Oryzias latipes: one gene and its partners. The main gene of each other region encodes a partner of the protein of the gene in region 3 in a complex. Links are inferred from orthologs where the notes say so. Each region holds a gene or a part of one and is shown on either strand. Other genes may lie near its edges.

Region 1 (4,231 bases), on a different chromosome or scaffold from region 3:
CGACAAGCGTCTTCCTCAAAGCAGCCTTCCCGCAATTTTCGTCTGCCCTCATACCAAATGTGAGACTGAGACTTCCAAAATGGCGACTGTTTGAATGTGCAAAGAAAGGAATCCAATGAACGCAAGCAAAGGGAGTCGTGGTCGTGAAAGAGGAAAAACTCGACAGTCCTGCACTTGAGGGCTAAGGCGATACCATGCACCAAATTCATGCAAAAATATAAACTTGCAAAAACTAGAGAATACGTGTATATTCCTTTAGAATGGTTTGGAGACATTATTGCAGTAATATTACTCTATACTAAGGAATGCAACTGCACACATGCACAGAAGATGTTTTTAAAAATGAAAAGAGTATATATATATATATATATATATATATATATATATATATATATATATATATATATATATATATATATATATATATATATATAAAATGAAATATATAAACATATATATTTATTTAGAATGCTATGCACCCTTACTTGTCAAATGGGATTCTAGTTATGTTATGGATGTACTTTTAGCATCATACAGCTGTAGCTACCAAGAGACTGTTGAGTTCTGGGTAATGCCTGCAACACTGGGACAAATAGGGGTATTGTGGGTATTTTAACTAGTTTTGCTTCCTTTTTTTATTTTCATGGAGAGTCAAAGATGGATTTAAAATGTACTTGTAAAATCCTTTTAATCCAATCAAAATACAAGGACATCTATTGACAATTTACTCTGTACACCAGCTCAACATTTACAAAATTAATAAAGAAATGAAATGTCTTTGTGTATGGTGAGTTTGCTTTTGTTTAAGGTACTCCATGACACATCAATTAAGCAATGATCTTAACATGTATGCAATGAGCTTTGTATGTTTCCACAACTGAAAATCACAAACAATTCTATCTTATCAGACTAAATAACTAACCAATTTAAACATTTTTTCCCAAAAATAATCTGCAAAACACATTCAGGTGCATAAGATTTTTAGAGGTGCACAAAACAAAATCTTCTAGGTTTCAAACTATTGGAAATGCCAAGGTATCTCCTTTTTTGTTAAGTGCAAGCACTAAAATATCATGTTTAAACTAAACTACTAACAGATTTTACGCTGCTAATCAGCCTAAATATTTATTCTAGTCTATATTTATTCTGGATTGCTGAACTCTGTATGTTGTAGGGCCATGAGGGAGAAGCACCCAGCTTGATTCACAACTTGTTTATAGAAACCAAGATGAACCTCGTACAAGTTCACAAAAATGACTAGAGTCCTAACTAATCCACACTAAATGTGCGCAATTTGCTGTAAAAGTGAATATGTTTTTTTTGTTTTTATAGATCCCTTTGGATTGAAACTACAAAATCAATTCTACATTTGATTATTTTTTTAACGCTGGTGCAGTAGCGCCAGTCACCAGTAGAGGGCGTAGACGTTTTCTGGATAGCATTTTTCCCTGCAGTCATCTGTCTGTCTACCTTGCCTGTCTGTTGTTTTGTATGCATGTGGAAGTGGAGGAGCGTGTGTCCTGAGGTTCTTTTAACAAAGATTATCGACACCTCCTGTTTGTGAGAGCGCGTGTGGTGATAATTTGCACTTATGAAAAAGAGGTATTTATTTTTATTTATCAAAGGCAGCCGTTCTTTTGAGCCAAATAACTATCTGGCTTTGCCCTGGGACGCCCAGAATTTCTTTTCGTGGCATATTATTTAGTTAGATAGTTTTAGTACAAGAGTCCTAAGAAAAGATGTCCACCGAATGCCAGAAAACAACTGCTAAGGCCATTCCGTCCACAAAGAGAGTAACCATCAACAACGCTGATCACATGCCCCACGACTACTCCACTACCCCCGGAGGGACCCTGTTCAGCACCACACCGGGTGGTATGTATAGAAATTTCAAGTCTTTTTCCAACACAAAACACGCATGTGCGAAGATTTACTCAGATTCACGCCACATGGGACCCACATCCTTTTAGATCATCGCTACTGTACAGCCAGCTGATAGCTTGCAGTTAAGCTAGCTGCTAATGCTAGCTAGCGGGTGTTTATTTTAAGCTAGTTTAAAGTAACTCAGTCGTATGCATTTTAAAAATTTGACATATTGTTACATATCTTTATTCTGCTCAAATTGTCTGCTTGTGTTTGAAGTGTTTATCTTGGGTTTCTTGCTTTCTTTTAGCTCTGGCTGTACTTGTTGCTAAAGCTGGACAGAATAGCATGTGGGCGGAGCTTAAGATGTGAAGGGATTTACGGGTCAGGGGTGGGCCTCGGCCTTAGAGGGGCAGGATTTATAAAAACACGAGCTGGAAGGGGTGGGCTTAAACATCAGACTCCGCCCTTCCAAACCTTGTACTGTTACACGTAAATGTAATAATATTTTCCACAGTTCATTGAAGGTGTAACTTTTATACAAAACCAACATGATATTCCACCAGCAACAAGCCTCTCAAAACTATTTATCTGTCATTCTTTACATATATTTATTTTTTATAATCCCACTGGCTGTTTATTATTGTCTCTGTATTGTACACTGTGTACTACATTGGTACACAGATGACCTGATCCCAATGGCGATATGATGTACACATTACATCTGAACCATTAGAGTCGGATCCTGAAATACTTAAATTAAATGTGTCCAAACCAAGATTCCAGATTTTAATGTTGATCTTAAAAGTCATATTTTAACACTTCAAAGCATTTATGTATGTACTTAAAATAATTGCTTTATTTGTTCAAAACGACGGAAGTAAATGGGTCATGTTGTGTTTTCTTTCTCGTTTGGTAAAACTACAGGGTTCACACTGTGTGGCAGCACATTGCATGCTATTTCTAAAGAACAGGGGAGCATGTGCATCAGGTTAATAATTGCTGGAAATAAGCGGTAGCTCCGTTTTTGTGTTGCTTGAGAAAGGTGTCCACCTGAGTGGGGTGGTTGAAGTAAATGGAAGTAAAATTATTTGAAATGTTATTTTTAATCATTTGCATTGATATACACACTAGTTTAATGATTTTTACTGCCTTTTTATGTGGAATTCCTTAGAGATGTGAGCCAAAAAAAAGCATTTTTCTGATAAATCAGTCTTGATCGTCTAACCTGAATACACCTGAAATTATGTTAGCTTTTTTAAACTGCTGGGTGCACTTTTGATCTAGCTTAATGATTATCAGTTGTCTTTTGTGTTCTATGTTTCACTTAACTTATTCATTCCAAAGCCATTTTTCTGGAAAAGCGGACAATTGAAAAAATGTTCTGACGCACAAAGCGTTTCTGCACAAACAGGTACTCGGATCATCTACGACCGGAAGTTCTTGCTGGAGTGTCGGAGCTCTCCTTTGGCAAAGACTCCTCCACGAGGCCTTCCCAGCATTCCAGGGGTGACCAGTCCTCCAACCAAAGAGTTCAACAAGAAGACCCTTAATGGAGAAGTAGTGAACATAGACACGCCTGCGGCTGACAGTAGCAGTGCAGGTATGTTCACAAATCATAGTCTGACCAAAGTATTTAAAAGAGTCAAATTTGGCATTTTGCTCCAGCATAGTGTTGTGTATAACATTTAATGAATCCATCCACAATAGGTAGAACATGGAGTTATTTTAGGCCAAATGCATGTAGTGGTGCAATTTCCAGTGTAATAAAGTTTCTTGTCTGCTTGTAAAAGAAAAAAAAACTTAGTCTTGCAATATAGCATACATAATTAGATGTATTCTAGTTGGGGTTTTTCTACTAAATGTAGAATTTGGTAGCTAAATGCTTAAAGAAGAATAAGCAAGTTGATGCACCTTAATCTTGAAGCAAGATTGTTTATTTTGACTGAAAACATTGTCTGTCAACGTCCTTGTTGCCTCCTGAATTTTAGAAAGTTAAAGTATAATTTTTGTGTGCTTTTTCTAGGTGACGATGCGCAGTTTGAAATGGATATATAGGTGGATCCAATGCTGTGAATGGAGTATCTGGAACGTCTCCTCTTATCCCATCATCATTTCTTTGGAGGAAAAGTGATCTCTTTTAGAATCTGGGTTAAAAATGTCTGTCTTTGATACTCATATTAATGCCTGAAGATCACAAGCCTTTTTTTTTATTCTATTCAAGGTCTAAAACCTATTTGCTGATGATAAAGTGTGCCTTCATGTAGTGGCATCAAACGGAACACAGACACCAACAATGCCTCATCAGTCAGCAGCAAGAAAGTTTAGACATAAAGAGCTCATTTTCATCAGATCAGGAGTGTTCCAG
Region 2 (4,249 bases), on a different chromosome or scaffold from region 3:
TGAAGACATATCTGTGAACATAATATAAATAGGTTTTGTGATAAACATTCAAGAGGAAGGATTAGTGATTTTTCAACACATTTCCAAAGTTGAATTGAATTGAAATGGTTCATTTCAAGCAATCAAATAGGAATAATACATAAAAACAATACAATCATCAGTTATAGATTCGTACCACAACTAATCAAACTTTGGATAATTAATCATATAAATAAATATTGCTTGAAAGGGAGTGGAAGGAAGCGAACTTATATAAACCCACCCCTGTTCTACCGTAACCATTTTATAACATGATTTATCATTATCCGGTTAAGTGGCCATCTTTTTTCTGTCTTGGTTTGTGTTCGTAAAGCATTAGCGCCATCTAGTGGTTAATGTGGTCATAGCAACCTGAGTTTTCTTGCAGCTTTTAAAAAAAAATGATAATATAACAACTGAAAATGTTGAAACATTCGTCTTTTACTTTTGGTACCTCTGTTTTTTAATGAACCAGTTATTCTGTAATTTACACGTCTTGAATTTTTTGCATGAAAGAAGTCTTTGGTATCACAACGTTAGTAAAAACAAACACGTTTTTTACTCAAGAGAGAAGCTAAAAATAATTCATGTATTGTTCATCGTTTAGAGTACACTTCTATGAACTCAAGTAACAAGCTCTGTGGGACCAGCTGTCATAAACTATACAGCGACAGACATCAAGACTCATGATCAAGACTCATGAGGTTGGAATGAAAAAGTAGGTCAAGGTCTTTCTGTAATTGCAAAATCATTTAAGCAGGCTAATGCAACAAAAATCCCTTTGGGTTTGAACAAAAATAGTCTCTGAGAAGATGAAAGAATTATGTTTTTGCTGATATGTGTGCAGAAAAAGGAGCTGCAGTGATGTCCAAATCCTCTAAGCAGGTCCATTATGTGCACTACTTGTGTTGTACTTATTATTGTTATTTATTCTTTGAATATTTCCTATTTGTAACAATAACTTTAACATAACACAACTTGCCTTAAATCAAGTTAGAACATATTATTTTTTGTTTTCAACTTAAATATTTCCCTAAAGTTAGGATAAAAACATACGTTTAAACCATATTACAAAACATTTTGCACAAATTATTCCTGTCACTAAATCCCAATCATACATGAAAACATGAACCATGACACAAACTCAAACAAAAAAACTAAGATTTGTTTTTATAAAAACAAATTTAGCAAATTGGTCATGCTGAAAAATATTAATAAATAAATATTACATTTGCAATTAAAACTCGAATACTGCTGCTAACTAAACTGTTTATTTCTGTCGTTCAGTCGCCAGGTCAGATTATTTTTTCATTGCCGTTGGAGGTTAAGGGATTAACTGGGATTCGCCTGATCCCAGATCTGTGATTTGCACCGCAGCGATTTGCGTTTGATGTCCGTGTTCTCGCGACATTCCGCGAAGTTTCCGGTGTTGTGTATGTTCCTGGAAACATGGCGGCCAGCTTCCGCGGCCGTCCTATCCGGAGTCTTCGGATGCGAGGTAAGCGTGAAAAACTCAGCTCATAATTTGTTGGAATGGCAGCGTATTGCAATAAGAGCACGTCTCCCACAAAACATAGCATTGAATTTGTCCTTCAGCGTTTCCGTTGCGTTTGTTTTTGTCAGGGCGGAATGACAGCGGGGAGGAGAACGTACCGCTGGATCTGAGTAGAGGTAAGCAGAGGCTCATCATTCTAAAAGCTATTATTGCTCAAAATGGATTATGGTTGACTTTATGCACAAAATATACGAACCTCTAAATGAACCACGAGATTGCCACGTGGATGCATTTTTAATTAAACGTTTTATTTGTTGTTGTTTTGTTCAAAAATCTTCCTTTGTGGCTATAAACAGGCGAGAGGGAGCTAACTAGCTAGCTGATTTAGCGTTAGCTGGCTGCCACAGCTAACCAGTCATGACGATGCGCTGTTGTTTTGGTAGGCGTGAGTGGGCTGCAGAGCCTGCTATTTAGCGAGACAGCCATTAGAGTTGCATTAATACACGAGGCTCCGCTGGCTGTCAGAAACCCTGAGCTTAAGCCGGTTTGCTGAGCAATGCACATACGGGCTTTTTTTTTTTTATTCACAGCTCAGCCGAGTTAAATTTGCTCATCTAGCAACAGCACTGTCTGCTTGTTTGTTTACACCAACCAGCGGCTGTTTTCTTTGTTTGGAACCTTTTGCGGCTGCTAGGCACACTTGACTCACGATAAAAGCACGATCAACGAGTTCTGATGGAAACATTTCGGTCCTAAATTAGGAAAACGATTACGAACATAGTTTGTGTTTTTTGTCAGCTTAGGTTTTTATATAAAACGTATCTTACTGGAACAAACTCAACCATTGATGGGGGGTATTCCAGAAAGTAGGTTATGCTATTTACCACGATAAGTTTGAGGCTAAGGAAGCGGATAGCCTCAGCTTTTGGTTCCAAAAACAGTGGTATGTTTCAGGGTATGTGAAGTTGCTATAGCAACTCATGCTCTGAACATAACCTGGTCTGGAGCAGGTTTAGTTGAAGGTTAGTTGGTTTCAGAGAGGTGAAGGAGCATGCAGTGTCCATTTGAAGATGATTTAGTGGATGAAGAAGCTCAGATAATACTTTTTCCACCATGAGAGGGTGATAAGACCACGTATGGATGTTGGAAAGATGAACTTTTTTACATTAATCTAACTTAATTATTTGCTTCAGTTAAGATACATTCTTTTTGTTACATGAGCTTAAAAAGAACACTAAGTTATCAGACAGTTATTTTACTTTAATTCAAATTAATTCAATTAAGTAGGTGTAACTTTGGTGCTGCTGTTAGATCGGCGCTGCAAGGAATTGTGGGATACCATTCCCTTTGCCTGTCTGGACGGATTTGGGTTTAAGTGTGGGTTTTTGACCAAATGTGTTTAGTTGTTTATCTGTTTTACTGTGTATTTCCGAGTTATTTGTCCTGTTGTGTTTAATTCTTTCTGCACCATGAGTGAGAGGGAGGGAGAGAATGATGAGGTTATTTAGCACCCCTACTGCTCAGTGTTGTAATGTCAAAGTCAGAGAAAGGATAAATGACTTTAAGTTTTGTGTTGTGAATCTATATTGTTTCATTCATTTTAATGTTATAAAAATGAGAATATCTACAGGCTCAAATGTAGACATATGAGAGTTCAAGAAATACAATAAATTAAGATGGAAAGACATTTAATTGAATTGGAGTAATATGACATTTAGTTAGAAAAATATGTAAATTTGAGATTTCAGCCAGAGTTCAGGGTTAAAGTCAGGGTAGTTTAAACATGCTTCCTGGATTACCCCCCAGGAACGTTTATAATGCAATAACACCACTGTTTCTTAAACGATTGATCGATTTTTGCTTCACGGATAAGAAGCTAAAGTTTAAGGTATATTTATACACCAGTGCTTGTTTGCCTTTTTGCTTTTGATACTTTTATCTTAGCATCATATAGGAAATCTTCTTAAATGTCAACCTCAGTTAAACCATTTTCGTGGTATTCTATTGTTTTGTTTTGTAGCTGTACGGATTTTTCCCCCTTTGTATTTGAAGTTCTAAATCTTGTTAAAATATCAGTTTTTTTTATGGAGAGATAATATAAGACAATTTAAAACATAATCTGGGATTAGGATGGTCTATTTACGTGTTTGTGAAATGGATTTCTTCATTGATTGGTATATCTGACATTAGTTTCTACAGATATTAGATGTCTACATATGAAATAACCTCGCAAGTGTTTTAATATTTTATCAAATAATTAACATTAGATGAATTGTTGGAAAGCAAAGTCTAACTTGCTCGACTTTGCTTTTTGCTATAAAGGTCTAGTTTTGACTGCATAAACGTAAAACTAGTAAACTAATTGATAGCCCTTTCCTTTTCTCCTGTAACCACAGAGCTATTTTGTCCACTGAAATGGTCTTTTTGTTTCCCTCTAGAACCATCAGAAAACTTCCGGGAAATTCTTCAAAATGTGGCTAAACCACACGGAGTTAGCAACATGCGAAAACTGGGCCACCTGAACAACTTCATAAAGGTAAGAATGCTGCAGCATTTTTTTGCTCCACATGCAGCTTTTTAAGGAAGATGACTGTAGATATATTGAATGACTGATCAACTACTCTTCCTCTGAAATGTAGCTGCTGACCTGCTGAGGTTTATACCACAGTTTAGATTAAAAAAAAAAAAAAGCTCTGGGGATAGAAATGCATCATAAGCTTCTATTCAACTAGAATA
Region 3 (4,200 bases):
TAATTGACTAGAAACACTAAGGTTTTATAGAATATAATACTTCATCTCAATAGGCGTACCCCAGGGTTCCGTACAGGGACCTCTTTAGATTTTTTTATTTAAGACAACATAATGTGGAAAATCCAAACTATTCTGTAAGTCATGACATCATGACACCAAGGACTCACCAATGAACAGATAAAAGCTTGTTATTTTTAACACCATGTGAAACTTCCATGCTTCTTCCTCATTGCATTTTGTTTTTTTCAAAAAACCCTAAACCCACTTTCAGTTCTTTTTTTATTTCACCAAAACGTTAGTAGACAGTCTGGTAGTTATTTTACTAACACGGATTTTGAGTTAGTGCTAACCTTCAGTTATAAGAAAACTGTTACTCAAAATAAAGCTAAAAACATTTTGTTTTTAACGTAATAAGTTACAATCTCATTAATAAAAAAATCCACTTTTCCTCAGCTCAAATCACTAGTTATGTGAAAACACCTTTTCATATTTAAAGATAAAATGATTATTTAAATGATAAATAATAAATCAAAATGTGTTGAATTGGAAATTGAATAGAGTTGTGAACTTAAAATTGTATTAAATTCCTTGTTTTGGCAGCGGTACCCAGCCATAGTGACTTCCACTCATCATCCCTGCCAGGTGACAAAAACACAAAACTAAGTCTTTGTGGTTGTTTTACAGCAAAACAGTTGGTCTTCATAATCAACCTCCTCAGTTATCGCCTCCCAAGATGCTCCAACATTTTTGAAACAACAGAAAAGAGGGACTGGAAAAGAAGCAGGACTGGGTTTGGAGAGTCCTGAAGTTTGTAAATGCTTCATTTCTGAACAGATATCTTGGTTTTTCCCAATTTGCATTTTCTATGGCTTTTTTTTTATCTTTTACTTTAAGACACTTACCATGTTTCTATAAAGTCTGACGTACAACACAAACAAAAAAGCTACAACACAACTCTTTAAAGACCGAATCCCATGATCTTGTGGCATTTTCTAATGATGGAGAACATTTCTATTGAAAATTCAGCTTAAAATGTCATTTTTTTCAGTATTTCAAATTGTTGTGAATCAGAAGCAACTGAAAAAAAAGCAGTTTGAAAAATATCACGTCAATGTACATGCTCAGTTTTCCTCGTCTGAGCTGGAATCTGGCTCCAAACTGTACAGCTGGATGGCTTCAATATTGCTCGCCATTTTTGTCGCACCTGTAATGTCAGGTTGGGGGTGTGAGGCTAGCAGGACATCGTGTAAACTGATAACTCTCAGTTATGATGGGAAAGGGGGTGGGGGTTGCTCTGTGCCAACAGTCCCGCTTCCAACTCAGAGGCGAATTTGTAATGAACTCCTGCTGCTCTGCAGAAACTACATCCTAGAAAACAACACTGTTTTTTTTTTGTTTTTTTGGCTAAGTATGGCATAATTATAACTAAAAAGACCACTGGGAATACTTTTAAAATAGATCACAAGATGATTGCAGTTGGACTTTAAGGGGGATTATGGACCACAAATAAATCAAACATCACTGAAACCTGCAACAAATATTTTGAAATCTCTGAGACAAATGAAGAACGTGCAATTAATTTTAAAATGACAGACAGAGCAAAGCGACTGTTAGGAATGAATAGTTATTCTATGCTTGAGAGATACGGTGTTTTATCCACAGACCAACACTGGTAGGAGCATGTCAGCAAACATCTACTGTTGTCCATTCAACTTTTGGTTCCTCTCCCTGCCTCTGCAGGAACCTCTGAGGGCAGAATGTGTGTTCATTTGGCTCTCTCATTCACAAAAACCAAACTACCGTTCCAACTGAAACAAGTAACTTTCAGAAACTGATTTCACTGACGTTACAGGCTGAAGGAAAGCCTCTGAAGTCCCGTTTTCTGCTGAAGTGACATCGCTTTCATTGAGGCAGTTCCTGTAGTTCTTATAAGTCAGGTTTAAAGCTCTGCTGTGAAATCCCCTTCTTACAATACAAACAACGTCACATGCTAACAGTAAATAAACATCGAGGTATTTGACATTAGTTCAAAAAAGGGGTATGATCTCAGGGGGATTTACACCTGGATGACGTCTTCATAACAGGTTAGGTGGGAACACGCCTGCTGCTCAGCTGTGAAGAACTCTGCCCCAAGGCTGACGGAGCAAACGGGAGCTGGAGGGTCCAGTTAGCTTAATGCTATCTGTCCTCGCGCGCTTCAGTCAGCCCGTGTCCAGTCGCCGTCACTTCTCCTACAGCCTCCCACGGCTTTCTGAGCGCTAACTTAAACGTATCCACTGCGAACCCCGCAGAACACCGAGACGGAAGGGGTGTACAGACCCAGCGAGCAGCTGCATACCGAGTCGGTGCGGCGGGATTATCAGCCCGGACAGGGGAAGCTCTCCGTCTTCTCCGGGCGATGACAGAGAAGGTCGCGCAAATAATCCTCGCGAGGAAGTTGTAGGGCAGCGTCCACAGCCGATACAGGAGGTCGAACCCGTCGAAGGCGAGCTGGACGGGGGTGTGCTTGCAGGGGAATGTTCGGCTCCTCTCCCCGCGGCTCTTCGCTATGGGAAGGGGTTGGAGACGAGGCCCATCTTCACACGGACAGTCTGCCACAGCCACGCTAAGCACCAGCAAAACTTATAGATGACGGTGGTCCTGCCTTGTTCCTCTACAAGCCAGCGACCATGCGAGCCGATTCGGCGCGATAATTCTGTCAGAAATCACAAAAAATCCTAAAAACTTCTCCGGAGAGGCACTGCTTCAGCACTACGGCAAGGGCGCAGCCATCTTGGGTAGGACCCAGAATGCACCGTTAAACGCCACCGTTGCTTTTCCTGTGACGCTAAAAATAAAATAAATAACTGGACCACTGTTCAATTATCTTTAGTAAAGAAAAGTACTATTCTAAATAACGTTTTAAAAAGGAAAAACAATTAACAACAATAATTATAAAAAAAAAGTAATATTTTTTACCATCGTGTAAACTTCCGGTTTTGGATTGCCGTCCAATTATTATGGGGTAAGAAAAAAGGCTAACAAATAAAATATTGAATTTGTTTTATTAAAATATGTAGCCATTCATAAACACATTTTAAAAGTTGAACGTCACAAAGCCAGCCCCCCCCCTCCCCCTAAATGTTGATTTTTTTTTTTTTTGTTGTTGCGTAAATTAAACATTTTGTTAACTTTGTGAGGCTTAGTAATAAAATTTAAAAAGTTCAGCACACAATAACTAATAAGCACTGTTGAAGATTTTAACAGGCAAAATTTTATCAAGCAACGAATGTTTGCAGTGAACAGCATTAAACTTACAATCAGTATGAAGATACTAATTTGTATCAATAACTCTTGTGGTATCTTGTGGGGTCCAGATGACCCCACCCTTACATTGGCGTGTTATTCCTACCATGACAGAGGTGGATAAAGGTGAAGAGGATTTCATGAATCTGTTTACACCAGTGAAGATCAAAAATCATGGAAGAAAAACCTGGAAAACCTTCAAACAAATGTGAAAATTTTAGACCAATAACCTGACCTTGAAATAATCTGTAAAGTCTTATCAACACAACTACAGAATACATTGCCAAGCATTATTGATAGAGACCAAAATGGATTTATATCTGCAAGGCAAGGATTTCACAATGTGAGAAGAGTTTGAAATATTATTCATTATAGCACAAATAAAGCATAAACAGGTTTACGAGCACTGGATGCTCAAAAGGCCTTTGACAAGGTCCATTGGCCTTTTCTCTTTAAGGTCATGGACAAATGTGGATGTGGAACCAACTTAAAAATGTGGGTCCAGATCATTTACAAAAATGCCATGGCAAAAATCTTGACAAACAGGAACACTTCACAGTCAATAAACATAACAAAAGGCTGCAGGCAAAGGTGTCCATTATCACCTATGCTATTTACAATGCAATCGAACCACTACCAATAGCAATACACTCCCATACAGGGCTACATAGAATCGGAGTGGGTCCAGTAGAACACAAAATAGCTTTACAGTATATGCAGATGATGTGATTGTGTTTCTCTCTCAAATAAAAAAGTCAATTCGTTCTTTAATGGAAATAATCAGAAAATATGGAGATGTCTCTGGATATAGAGTGAACCAAACAAAATCCTCTATTTTATTACATAATGAAGAAGAAAGAAAAACCCAACTTCTGAAACAATTCTGTTGTGTGGTGAAACCTTTTCCTGTCATTT
Region 4 (4,274 bases), on a different chromosome or scaffold from region 3:
AAACATGTTGCCGCCCTGAAACCAACAGAGTGATCCTGAACTTTAGCTGAAGTGTTAATATTTACATGGTGTGTTTCCGGTTTCGTGTAGCTAAACCCAGAGCGAGGGCCCACAGCGAGATCCGCTGCTGACCGCAGATAGCTCCGCCCCCTCCCACCGACTGCTACGATGCTCTTCAGTGGACGCCTCGCAGAAAACCTTCCACTTTACAGGCTCCGATTCATTTGTTCTATGGTTTATAAGGGGGACGCAGACAAATGAGGAAAAAGAAATTCAGGAACAAAACACAGCGCAGAATAGGGATGCTTTAAAACTCATTTTACCACGTGGTTTCATCATTAAAGCGGATTGTGGAGAAAGCATTTTTGCATCCTCAAAGCAAACCATACTGTGGGGCTGAAAAGGTTCAAGCCAATGATAATTGTGTTTGGTTTTAACGTGTTCTTTTAACATTTCTCTGATGATTGAGGAAATGTATAGAGAACATTTAGCTCAAAACTGCATTTTTTTGTATTTCTTTATTCAAATTGTTGTGAATCAGGAGCAGACGAAAAAGTTCTGTTAGGTAATGTTTGCAATGTGGTTACATAAATATACTTTTATGTTTGTGTATATATATATCCAGACAAATACCAGTAGATCCAATTTTTTTACTGTAAGATTGGATAAAGGCACAGGCAGTGGGGGGCAATGCCCCCCTAAATACAGTGACTGCCCCCTAAATGTGATGGGCCACAAAAATCCACAAATAACTACAGGAATAAAAAAATAAAACAACTACAAGTCAAAAAAATGTAAGTATTTATGTATATGGAAGGACACACAGGCAAAGATACATAAAAAGAAAAAGGGTAGTGGTAGAGGGTGGTCTTCTTCAAACTGCTCCTGATTCCAAACAATTTGAATAAATAAACACTCAGAAATGCCATTTTAAGCTGAATTTTCATTATGGATGTCCTCTATCATCAGAAAAATGAGAACATGAACATGTCAAAAACATGTTCTTGTGGCAAAAAATAAGAATTTCACCAGAGTGGGTCTTTAAAGAGAGAGATGGAAATCTGTTGACAGGTTCCACAAGTGTAATGGAAAGATGGAAGAACTTTGAAGATCTCAAAAATATCCATGTAAATAGAAAAGGTTCTTGCAAATTTTTGCTGCGATAATTCTTTTTACTCATGATCGCACGATTTTGCAGCCACATTTCTATTTCATGTGATGATACTTTGAACTTGCAAAAGCATAATTTTATCTTGCTCTGGCATCTCTCTCTCTTTTTTAACTTTTCTTTATTTTTTCACTTTCTAGTGTGAAGTGCATTTGGATGTGTGCACAACATTTTGTAAACGCTGAAATACTAGTAAGGAATAAAGGTGCATATAATTCAGTGTTCCTTTACTTTCACTGCCTCGGTCAGTGAACTGCTCTTGTGCGTGTTTTTCGTTTGGTGGCTCTTTTATTGTGAAGAGATTACACCGGAAGTCAAAAGGATGTCTTCCTGGTTGCACGAGCGCAGCAGATTGCATTGGCTTTCGGTTGTTTTGAGACTTTAATGCATTGAATTGTTTTTCACGGATGTAACGACTCGTCGGCCAAATAAGTAGACTGGATGAGATGGAGGGACGTGGACTCTGCTGTGTCTCGTCAGAAAAACGTAGAGGTGGGATCTTCTTTCTGTTCATACCACTGCTATTGCTAACTGACTCGGGAGAGATAATCGTTAGCTTGAGTTTAGTCACCGCTAACCGACTGTAATGCGATCTGTAAGCTGTTCCTGTCATGTTACACGCTTATAAAGTATGAATCACTTCAGTCTGTAGATCCTCCTGCTACTTTTTGGAGCAGCTGAAATGGATTTTGTTGTAATTCAGCTGGTTTAAGTGAGCCATTTTGGTTAGGAAAACAAGGTGCTGCTAACGCAAAACATGATGATGATCTGATAAATGTACACAGAACTTTTTAATCCGATTGTTTAACTTCTACCTTCTTAAAATGATAAACTCCGACACAAATTTGTATTTACTGACATGTGGTGTTTGTTTCAGTTGTGTCGTGTGTTTTACACGAGCGTGTTTTTCCTGTGAGAACTTTCCCCAGATAAGACTGTGTCCTCAGCTGAAATGACCGTCAGACATCATTTACAGCTGTTACAGTGGGAACTGTTACGTCATCACAGTGATTTCTGTGCTCATAATCCGTTTTCTTGATGGTGAAGTGTTCTTCTCAGCTGCCCATGCGCTCAGCGCCGTCATCTGCCTGTTGTAGCTGTCAACATCCGTGTTTAGACTAAACACTGTGAACAAACTTCGTGTTTTCAGATGTGACACGACTTCTGATTCTTCAAAAAAAAAAAAGTTAGCGTTGTGCCCAAACACTAAAAAACACTGGCATTTGTCTGATGATAGAGGACATATATAAAGAAAATTAGGCTCAAAACTGTATTTCTGAGTATTTCTGTGTTCACGTAGTTGTGAATCAGGAGCAGACAAAGAAATGCTGTTAGAAAAAGCTTGTTGTAACTGAAGCTACTGCAGAAAGCCACAAGCTTCCTGCCCCTCCTCATTCTAATGCATCCACTCATGGACAACTTGTTCCATGTACATCTTTGTTTTCCCTGTCTGAGCTGGAATCTGGATCAAAACTGTATGGCTGGACAGCGCCAATATTGCTCACCATTTTTATCGCAGTGCTCATGTTAAGGCCCGTACACACCGGGACGAATATTCGCCAGGCGTTATTCGCCAGCGTTTTTCGCCACGTTTTTTGTGTTCACACCCAGGCGATTTCCACTGACGATGAGCCGAGCGAACATGCAATTTCCTTCCCTGACATTAGATGGCGCTTAATGTAAACAGAAATACTCCTGTACACAAGGTGGCGCTGCGCAACTTTACGCTTATTAAAGTCGCTTTTCACTCAGAAGAAGAGAGCAAGTATTTACGCGCTTGTCAGAATCAAACAAAGAAAACATGAATATTTCAAGCACCAGTTGCTCCAACTGGTGCTTGGTTCGGGGATATTTTAGAATGTCCGTCATTATTTCTTCGCAGCAGTGTAGACGCTACTTGGCGTCTATCTTCTTCGCTGGTATGTGTGCTCAGCAAGGCAGTTTTGTGTTTGAGCGCCCCCAAGTTGTGTTTTACTGTAACTTCAGAAGCTCCAGACATGTGTGCAAAAGCGCCATTCTCATTGGTCGAATAGATTTCGACGCGACGCGTCGAAAAAAAAAAAACGAACCCGAGGCGTTTTTTTTTTTGACGCTTTGACGCCTGGCGTTTTTTCGCGTCGGTGTGCACACTCCCATTGGTGCCCTTTGTTTAGTCACGAGGCGTTAAACGTCGGCGAAAATCGCCAGCGAAATTCGTCCCGGTGTGAACGGGCCTTTAGGTTGGCGTTGTTAGAGGCTCTAAGCTAGTTGGAGAGACTGTAAACAGATTGGTGACGGGAAGTGGTGGTGGGCTAGCTATGTGCCACTGGTCAACTCAGAGAATCTCTAATGAACTCCTGCTGCTCTGCAGAAACCATGCCATAGAAAACTACACATAAAACAGCATAAACATAAAGAAAGACTTCTGAGAATGCTTTTTGCAATAGATCAAAAGATGATAGGAGCGGGACTTCAACATCAATATTGAAAATAACCAAAAAAACATGGTTCAAATACATTTTGGCAATTGACTGTATAAGAGAACTGGACTTGCCGACCCCTCCCCCTGGTGTTCCTAACAGGAAGTACGCGCTGGCCCCAAGAAGCCAAAATCCTATAGACTTCTATATAGAAATAAACAGCTGTTAATCAGTCATTCTGTTGGTCAGAATAACCATTCTTGCTCCGATACCTTTTTTGAACATGTTCTTGATAATCCTATTTTTTCTAATAATATTTTTTCTTTAGTACAAGCTAATCATGTTATAAACTGACCAATCATGGGTCTCAATAAAAGCGTGTGGCCTCATGTTCAAAGATTGATTAACAGATTTTGTGCAGTCCGCTTTAAGTGGTAGGGGTGTGGCCTTTCAACAAGCTCTCTCTGGATTTGTGAGAGTGGTTGCCATAACAATGTTGACTCTGATTGTCTTAGACCAATCACTCCTTGCTAACATTGTCTGACTCCCAACCTGGCGACGTCCACATTGCAAAAAATGGTGACTGAAGTTACTTCAATTGGTTGGAACCAGAAGTAAGCCAATTTTCTGTGAGTGACGTCACACTTACTCTGTCCAGTTCTCATATTCAGTCAATGAGTTGGATTGACCCACGCATTTCATAGTTC

The links.
Region 1: the proteins of rptor (region 3) and eif4ebp1 are in contact, whole or in part, in a cryo-EM structure (PDB 6BCX), measured with the Homo sapiens proteins. The link is inferred for Oryzias latipes from reciprocal best matches to the Homo sapiens genes RPTOR and EIF4EBP1. Residues at the interface, in NP_065812.1 of Homo sapiens: Arg54, Arg305, Thr317, Asp321, Phe337, Arg338, Leu341, Ala344, Arg348, Leu437, Gln438, Leu440, Leu441, Ser442, Gln443, Arg446, Tyr475, Lys478, Leu479, Gln481; in NP_004086.1 of Homo sapiens: Glu111, Ser112, Gln113, Phe114, Glu115, Met116, Asp117, Ile118.
Region 2: rptor (region 3) and rictor share a complex: the UniProt entries of both Homo sapiens proteins name them as parts of the mechanistic target of rapamycin complex. The link is inferred for Oryzias latipes from reciprocal best matches to the Homo sapiens genes RPTOR and RICTOR.
Region 4: rptor (region 3) and mapkap1 share a complex: the UniProt entries of both Homo sapiens proteins name them as parts of the mechanistic target of rapamycin complex. The link is inferred for Oryzias latipes from reciprocal best matches to the Homo sapiens genes RPTOR and MAPKAP1.

What each region holds. Positions count from the first base shown.
Region 1 is NC_019867.2:12,547,796-12,552,026, forward strand, and holds the start of eif4ebp1 (eukaryotic translation initiation factor 4E-binding protein 1), read left to right. Parts: upstream 1-1,431; 5' UTR 1,432-1,739; coding exon 1,740-1,875; intron 1,876-3,277; coding exon 3,278-3,466; intron 3,467-3,889; coding exon 3,890-3,921; 3' UTR 3,922-4,231. UniProt on the Homo sapiens protein: Repressor of translation initiation that regulates EIF4E activity by preventing its assembly into the eIF4F complex: hypophosphorylated form competes with EIF4G1/EIF4G3 and strongly binds to EIF4E, leading to repress translation.
Region 2 is NC_019867.2:18,765,701-18,769,949, reverse strand, and holds the start of rictor (rapamycin-insensitive companion of mTOR), read left to right. Parts: upstream 1-1,449; 5' UTR 1,450-1,467; coding exon 1,468-1,516; intron 1,517-1,641; coding exon 1,642-1,689; intron 1,690-3,951; coding exon 3,952-4,049; intron 4,050-4,249. UniProt on the Homo sapiens protein: Component of the mechanistic target of rapamycin complex 2 (mTORC2), which transduces signals from growth factors to pathways involved in proliferation, cytoskeletal organization, lipogenesis and anabolic output.
Region 3 is NC_019859.2:4,711,558-4,715,757, forward strand, and holds the start of rptor (regulatory-associated protein of mTOR), read right to left. Parts: upstream 2,801-4,200; 5' UTR 2,337-2,800; coding exon 2,320-2,336; intron 2,235-2,319; exon of another isoform or gene 2,080-2,234; coding exon of another isoform or gene 2,063-2,079; intron 1-2,062. UniProt on the Homo sapiens protein: Component of the mechanistic target of rapamycin complex 1 (mTORC1), an evolutionarily conserved central nutrient sensor that stimulates anabolic reactions and macromolecule biosynthesis to promote cellular biomass generation and growth.
Region 4 is NC_019870.2:25,040,403-25,044,676, forward strand, and holds the start of mapkap1 (target of rapamycin complex 2 subunit MAPKAP1), read left to right. Parts: upstream 1-1,474; 5' UTR 1,475-1,660; intron 1,661-4,274. UniProt on the Homo sapiens protein: Component of the mechanistic target of rapamycin complex 2 (mTORC2), which transduces signals from growth factors to pathways involved in proliferation, cytoskeletal organization, lipogenesis and anabolic output.